2 linked regions of the Elephas maximus indicus genome follow. The protein of the gene in region 1 interacts with the protein of each later gene in a biochemical or structural test. Links are inferred from orthologs where the notes say so. Each region holds a gene or a part of one and is shown on either strand. Other genes may lie near its edges.

Region 1 (3,901 bases):
GGGTGCTGAGCCCAAGACGAGAGGGTTCTCCTCAGGGGGAAGCATACCCCAAGACTGGCCCAGGCCTGGAACCCTAGGCTCTGACCTCATGGTCTGGTTCCCTGTACTCCCCTCACCCTTCACCAGTCAGGCCAGGGCCAAAGGGGGTAAGAGAGGAGGGCCCCGAGGCACCCTAACTCAGCACCCAACAGTATCCACCTTCCCTGTCACACTCGGCCTTCCTCAGCCCAGTCTCTGGGAGTCCTGCAGGTGGGCAGCAGGTGTCCCTCCCACCCCGAGCTTTCTTCCTGGATGTTTTTAGCCACTAATGATCCCCAGGGACTTGAGCTGAGCCAAGACTGAGTGGACCACAGCCCAGCCAGGATCTCCCTCCCTCTCCAACACTCCCCTCCCTGCTCACCATCCACGGAGACCTCACGAGAGCGCACCAGGTCGCTCTTATTCCCCACGAGGATGATGGGCACATCATCTGTCTGCCGTGCCCGTCGCAGCTGGACCCGCAGCTCTGAGGCCTTCTCGAAGCTGCCCTTGTCCGTCACGGAATACACGATGACATACGCATCCCCCATGGCCATGCAGTGGCCAGGCAGCCAGCAGTCCCCATCCTGGGAAACACAAATACAGTCCTGCTCAGCAGTCCCCAGGTCCTAGCCACAAGTCTGTCTCTCCCAGCAGGCCTTTACCCCCAGCCCACCTCTCCAGCCCCTGCCCTGGGTCTCAGTCTCCATCCTACCTGATCCCAAATGTCATAGACCAGGAGGGAGGCCTCTTCTCCATCCACCATGATGGAGCGATCATACGTGTGCCCTAAGCAGAAGACCAGTAGCCAGGTTACCTGCTGGATGCCCAAAGTCCCCAGTTCCAGGCTCCCTGTTTTTGTTTGTTTTTTTTATTTACTGTGCTTTAAGTGAAAGTTTACAAAGTCAGTCTCATACAAAAAGTTAAACACACCTTGCAATGTGCTCTTAGCTGCTCTCCCCCTAATGAGACAGCACAGCCCTCCTCTCCACCCTGTATTCCCCCTGTCTTTTATTCAACCAGCTCCTGTCCCCCTCTTCCTTCCCATCTCCCCTCCACACAGGAGTTGCCCACATAGTCTCATGTGTCTACTTGCAGACTCCCTGTTTTGGTCACATCCTCCAGCTCCTCCCCAGAGCCCTCAGCTCTCCTCCCCACTTAGAGATGGCTGCCATGTGTCTCCTGATCCTGGGCAATTCATGGGGGCGGGTAGACAGAAGCGACAGGGCCGGGAAGTGGGGGATGGGGGCATAGTGTGCTCGTCCTCCACCGAGACACCCTCCCCCCTAAGCTACCAATGTCCTGAGTTTCAGTGCTCCCTACCCTCCTGCTGTCTGGGCCCGGGAGTGGCTCTGACCACAGTGGCTTAAGTTAGAATTGAGAATGTCACATTCCTCTGGGAGCCCTAAGTGACCAAGGGCTCCTCCCCTAGGAATTAATTCCCTCTGCCTGAATTCCTGCTGACCCCGGCTCGGGGAATGTCCTGTCCCAACCCTTACCCCCATCCCACAGAGGTCATATGGGAGCACTGCACCCTTTACTCTGGGAATTTCTTCTGCTATGAATGGCTTGAAGTTCCTTCTCCCTTACTTTCCCCATCTGTGAAATGGGTGGGGAGAGGCATGATTCTGAAAGCCCTTTGGACTCCCACGTATTTGTCACTTTTAGTCCAGGTCCCCAGTCCCCTGGCTCCCAGACCTGCCCCTGGGATTTCCCCTTCCCTGACCTGCCCAGTCCTTTACCTGCGGCCTCGGCCTCAGGTCCCTCCTCTACGCCACCAAAGATGCGGGCCAGAGAGCTCTTGCCCACGCCAGGCGCCCCCAGCAGCAGCACCTTGTACACGCTCTCGTCTGAGTCGCTGCCCCCCGAGCTGAGGGAGTCAGAGGAGCCCTCTGGCCAGTTCAGCCTTGGACCCTGGGTCTCGGTCCCGGCCGCCGCTAGGGCGCCTGGAGACAGCGCCGCCTGCAGGTCGCGCTCATCCACCGGCATGCTTCGGCGGTGCAGAGGGGGCGCCGGGCCCCAGGGTGTGCTGCCTCGACGGCGCTCGCGCTCCTGGCCTCCGCCGCGGCTCCCGCCTGCTCCGCTGCCGCCGCCATTCAGGGTCATTGCGTCCGGCGCTTTCTGGGGGGGGGGGGGGGGGCCGGGAACCAGGATGGCCGCGTGAGTCGCGGTGTCATTGGGGTGGAAGGCCTGACCCGGGACGCACTGGCCCAACCCAGCCGTGAGGGATCTTGCGCCCCGACCCGTGGCCCATCCCAGCCTGGCCCATCCATCCGAAATCCAGAAGGAGCGGCCACCGCTCCCCCGGCTTCTGCGGGACACTCACCCAGTCGCACACGCGGTCAGGACTCGGACCTGGGCTCGGACACAACCCGCTCGCAGCCCCGGACTCGGACACTCCGACCCTTGCCGCTGCGGCCGCCGCCTTCTCAGCTGCGCTAGGTCCCAGCTCCAGCGCCGGCTATTTAAGCCTCCGCCCTACCCCGCCCTCGCCCTCGCCCCCGGTCCGCACTCATGCGGGGGCGGACGGGGGCTGACGTGTCTATCCACCCCCACCCCAGGGGAATCCCCACCCTCGGTCTAGGACCTCAAACCCACCAAGACCCCGCCCCCCAACCAGGGGTGAGCTGCTGCCTAGCAATACTAGGGCCCCGCAGACGCTGGGGTCTGAGTGGGGTGGGGGAAAGGAGGGAGTGAGGAAGGGGAGGAGAAAGGGGAAGGAGGAAGTGTGTAAATGGAACAGGGAGGCTGTGAAGATTTGAGTGGGGGGGGAAGCACCGTGTGGTGGAGAGACTATGGGACCAGCCAAGGGCGGTAACTCCCCACTGGGGAAGATTTAGGCCTGGTCCTTTAAGAGTGAATTCTCCCTTCCCCCTCCCCCAAGCCTGGCCTGTTTCCCAAGTCCTAGGGGAGTGGAAGAGTTGAGTTACGGGCTGAAGACTTCACCCTTCTCTGCCCATGACACCCACTGCCCGCCCACCCAGACCTAAAGTAGGGGTCCTAAATCCTGGCATCTAGCCTCAACACCTGTCTTCCCACCCCCTCCTCCTCCTGAGGAATTGAAGATTGTCCCTGCTGAGCTTACCCTTGGGGTGAGGGTTGGTGTTACCCCATGAGCCCCAGGGGGCCCTTGGAGGGCTATTTGGAGGGGATGAGGGAGGTCACCTGGCAGTGTGTTGCAGGTAGAGGTACCTGCTTGAGTTCTGAGGAAGGGACACCAGTGAAGGGAAAGGATGAACTCAGTCTCCACCCCACCCCCACGACCCCCCAAGGAGCTTCCTGCAACTCTGCTAAAAATACCTGGCCCTGCCCCTGGTCGTTCTGCTTCTGGGCTGGAGGTTGCCCAGAGTTGGGGAAATCCAGGGAGGCAGGAGCCAGATGCCAACAGGAGCAGATAGGGCTGAGGCTGGACCAGGGTCAGGGCTAGATCCAGCCACTTCAGTCTTCAATGACTCCCTCCTTCCCTCTAGCTCCAGGCTGGGTCCGCTGTCCAGGGCCTGGAGGTTCAGACTCTCACCCAGGAGAGGCATAGTGGCAGAGTGTGGTCAAGGTGGAGGGGCCGGGGGGAGGGTGTCTCAGCTACCACTTGGTGCCACCACTGCCCAGAGCTCACTCCCCTTAGATCTAGGGTAGGGACTGGGACCATGAGCTGGGGCTGGGGGCGGGGGGGGGATGCAATGGGGAGGCTTGGTTTTTAATCCTGGCTCTGCCTCCAGCCTGCTGGTTTTCTCTCCCTCCCAGCCTCCAGATGCCCACGACCTATTCCCCCCTGTTCATCTCTGAGCTGTATGAGGATTAGAGGCAGACAGACTGTGAAGTGCTTCCTGATGGGGACCTGCCAGACTCTGAAGTTTATGACAAGTATGGCAGGGGACACCACGTA
Region 2 (3,901 bases), on another chromosome or scaffold:
CCATCACCCTTGCCCACAGGATGTCTATCAAAGAGCCCAGCCTACACAGGCACTCCCAAGGGGAGGAGGGCATCTGACCACCCACATATCTCTATGGCAACCATCGCCTCAGACTCAAGGTACCCAGAAAGAAAATAAACAAATAAGTCAACTCTTACAGCCATGTATGGGGCTGGGTGGGAAACGGCAAGGCAAGCCCTGCTGGTGGGGACAGAGAGAGAGCCTCCCAGCCAGGTGGTAGACACAGCCCTGATAAACAAGCTCGCTGTCAGCTCTGTGGAATTTTATGGTTTCTCAGAGGGCCTGGGGACATCTACTACATCCCCTTCCCCAGACGCCTGCGTCATTACTGGTCACAGTCCACGTCTTCCCCAGGGCATCTATCCTGGCTCCTAATGTATTAATGGCATCCCATTGTCCAGCCTTAATTCCTTTCTCTGAATCTCAAACTTTTGCCCCCAGCTGCACCCTGCAGCCCTTGGCAACCTGACCCATTCATGGACTTCCTTACTCACCAGACCTGTTCACAGAGTACTTCACACACTGCTGGGTCTACACCTATCAGATGAGGTGAGTTTGGCAAGCAACCAATAAGAGGTTCAGGGAGTGTACTTTCTAGGTGTGAAAAACAGGACCTGACCCTCCTGGCCTGGTAAGTCCCCGCTCCTCATAACCAGAGCCTTGCTGCTCCCACCAGACCAAGCTGTTGGGCTTTTCAGACCATGAGGCATCACCCTCCACCCAGGACAGACTGCATCTGCTGCCACACCACCAACTTTGTAATTTGATCAAAAAAAGCAATCAAGTTCATCTGGCAGGATTTGTTCCCAAGAAGCCCTCGCCAGTAGCAGCCTCCCCTGATGTTTACTGATTTCCTTCCCTTGGGAGTCTGTTCCACCGCCTGGTGGGCACGGGGAGGCTGGATTTGTCAGAGCTGCTCACTTACTGCACTTCCATCCTAAGTCACCACTGCGGCCTAGGGATTAGGATAGGCCTGGCGTGGCTACCACGGCCCCAAAGAGGTAGGCTCCAACTGCCCCAAATCAAGAGCTCGCCATTCTGTGCCATCTACCATCCTCCACATCCCTCACCTCCCCCCTAAGGACCAAACTCCCTTAAGCGTTTGGGGACCACTCCTCCCTGCAGCCATCTACATCTCTTACATCCCCTTCATTCTTTTCTATTTGAGCACTTCCAGTTCCCAGTGCCACTCCTTGTCTGGCTCCAAAATCCACCCACCCTGAAATTCCAACTCTCTTCCAAGTAGTAAAACACATAACCCCCAACTCCTGGAGCATCTTCAGATGAAGCCAAGGCCCTTGGAGCCACCCCCAGGGAGAGACCAAGATGGGGAACACTCACCCCGTGCAGATAACTTCTTGGTATTGATGATTTTTGCTGCGTATTCCTGCGTGGAGGTTTTCTTCACACACCTGCGGACCACAGAGAAAGCACCCCTGGAGGGAAAAGGGGGAAAGAACTGGGACACAGCGCAGGGCAGAGTGACACAGGCGCAACCGTGGTCTGAGGAAGCCATGCTCCCATCGCCAGACACCCCCCCCCCCCCGCCAGGGTAGTGACCACCACCCTCTGACATCAGGCAGAAGGATGTGGCCACTGCATGACCCTGAACAGGCCAGGGGTGGAGTGCCACCCCACTGCCACCCCCTCATCCAGCCCCTGGGAAAAGCCAGGACAGGCTGCTCATCAGGAGTTGGTGGGCGATGCTTTCAAACACACACCTGCTGCATCTCACTGATAGCCCTGCGGACGGCCAAGAGACCAGGAGAGGAAAGGGAACAGAGAGCCCCTGCCCTTCCTCAGTAGGAACAGATGGTGGTAGGGGAAGAGAGATGAGAAAGAGGGCATACCCCCCTGAGAGAAATCTCCCTCAGCCACGGACGAGGGTGAAGAAAGTGAGGCTCAAACCCCCACAACGGGCTTCAACCAACTGCATCCCGGTTCAACCGACAGCAGGGAAGGAGACCATACAGTTTTGGGGCTCAGGCACCGGCGGCTCCCCTTCCCCACAGTATTTTCCTCTACGTCCCCCCCTCCCCCGCCCCTCCATGAGAGTTCGCACTCTCCAGCTCTGGAAGCGTCCAGGGGGCGGGCAGGGCGGGGGCTGCAGTGGCCGGGCTCGGCGCCGCGGGGGGGGGGGGCCGGGGCTGCTGCAGCGGCCAGCTCAGTGCGGAGGGGAGGGGGATGCTGCGGCTGCGGCGCGCGGCGCCCGGGACCACTGCAGGGATGGGGGGAGGGGACGGGGTGCTGCAGCACTGCCCAGCAGCCGGGCTGGGATCCTGGAAGCGGCACGAGCGGGGGGCGGGGCCGGCACCAAACATCCCCCCCGCACCCGGGCACCGCAGCGAGGTTGGAGCTGCAGGGCTGGGGAGGGTCTTGAGCGTCAGGCGCGTGGGACACGGGAACAGGATGCAGAGTGCGCTCCTGAGCAGAGTGAGGAGGGGGCGACAAGCAGGTGGGGTCCGGAGGGGGGCCCCTAAGGGTGCAGGAGGGGCGGGGCTGGAGGGCGCCGAGAGCGGTCCAGAGGCTGCAGTCCCCGCGGCAACGCGGGGTGCAGCAGCTTGGGCAGCTGCTGCAGGGCGCGGAGGGGGCTGCGCGGCAGGGAGCCGGGGGCGAGGGCGCCCCGGAGGCGGCGGGCGGGAAAAGCTGGGGGTGGGGCGGGCCGAGGGGGCGCTGCAGCGGCCGGTGCAGGGCCGGGGGGCGGGGCGAGGAGCCGCAGAGCGCCCGGGCGGCGGGGGCCGGGTGGGGGGCCGCGGCGGGGGGCGCGCGGGCCGTACTTGCCGAGCTCCTCGAAGAGCTGGTAGTCGTCGGTGAAGCGGGTGCAGGTGGCAGTGGTGGCCATGCTGGCGGGCGGACGCGGCGCCGCAGCCCGCGCCGACGTCGGTGCACAGTCACCGCCGCCCGGCCGAGGGAGCGAGAGGAGGAGACGGGGCTGAGCCCGGCAGCACCGCGAGACTTTACCGGGGAGAGCGAGGAGGGAGGGACACCCCCGCGCCGGCCCGCCCGCCCCGCCCCCAGCCCGCCGGCCCCCCTCCCGGCCCCGGACCGCCTCCGGGGAGGGGCCTCCGCCGCCGGCCCCGCCTCGCCCCGGGAGCCGCCCGGGCCCGGCCCGGCGCGCCGGAGAGCTCCGAGGTGGGGGTCCGGGTCCCCGGCCACCCGCCCGGGCGGAGGGAACTGGAAGGTTCGCGACCTGTGGGCTCGTCCTGAGCGAAAACTGCAAGGGCTCGGGACTGTGCGCGCGAGGGTGGCATGCGTTGGGGGGTAGGTGGCTAGGTCAACGAGATCTCCTGAGCGGGACCCACACACGGGGTCCTAAGCCCCCAGCCTGGCTCACAGGATGAGCAGAAGGGGCCAAGGTTAAAGAGCCTGTGTCAAGCTGCGCACGTGGGAGGCGCCCCCAGACTGTGGAGATCCAGCTCCCAGCAGCCTTCCCTTGGGGAGCTGACAGTCTAGACTTGAGCAAGCTTCAGGGCCATTATTGGAAGAAACTCTTCAGGCACGGTTTGATCAGGGAGACCAGGCCAGGGGCAAGGGTGCAGGTGGAACTGTGCTTCTCTGCCCTCCAACCTTAGAGATGAGAGAACGTTCTCTCTCAGGCCCATAATAAAAGAAATGAAGTGGGAGAGATTATAAAAGGATTTGTGCATTGGAACTCGAAGAGCAAGTACAAGGAAGGAGAAAGCATCCTCATTTTCTTGCAGAGCAAGCTGTACTTTCATTTTATGTCACTTACCACATTTTGTAATTATATATTCATTTATTTTTTTCTTTTACCACATTTTGTAATTATATATTCATTGATATGAGGGGCAGCAGCGCTAGAACGTAGCTGTTGTAAGCTTTAACTTTGCAGTCAGACTGCTTGACTTAGAACTCTGGG

Evidence for each region.
Region 2: of the proteins of RRAD (region 1) and CAMK2G, one has a biochemical effect on the other in vitro, tested with the Homo sapiens proteins (2 studies listed by BioGRID, with this or other methods). The link is inferred for Elephas maximus indicus from reciprocal best matches to the Homo sapiens genes RRAD and CAMK2G.

What each region holds. Positions count from the first base shown.
Region 1 is NC_064839.1:33,376,417-33,380,317, forward strand, and holds the start of RRAD (GTP-binding protein RAD), read right to left. Parts: upstream 2,478-3,901; 5' UTR 2,345-2,477; intron 2,140-2,344; 5' UTR 2,125-2,139; coding exon 1,761-2,124; intron 808-1,760; coding exon 734-807; intron 606-733; coding exon 401-605; intron 1-400. UniProt on the Homo sapiens protein: May regulate basal voltage-dependent L-type Ca(2+) currents and be required for beta-adrenergic augmentation of Ca(2+) influx in cardiomyocytes, thereby regulating increases in heart rate and contractile force.
Region 2 is NC_064834.1:13,728,148-13,732,048, reverse strand, and holds the start of CAMK2G (calcium/calmodulin-dependent protein kinase type II subunit gamma), read right to left. Parts: upstream 2,967-3,901; 5' UTR 2,864-2,966; coding exon 2,799-2,863; intron 1,458-2,798; coding exon 1,363-1,457; intron 1-1,362.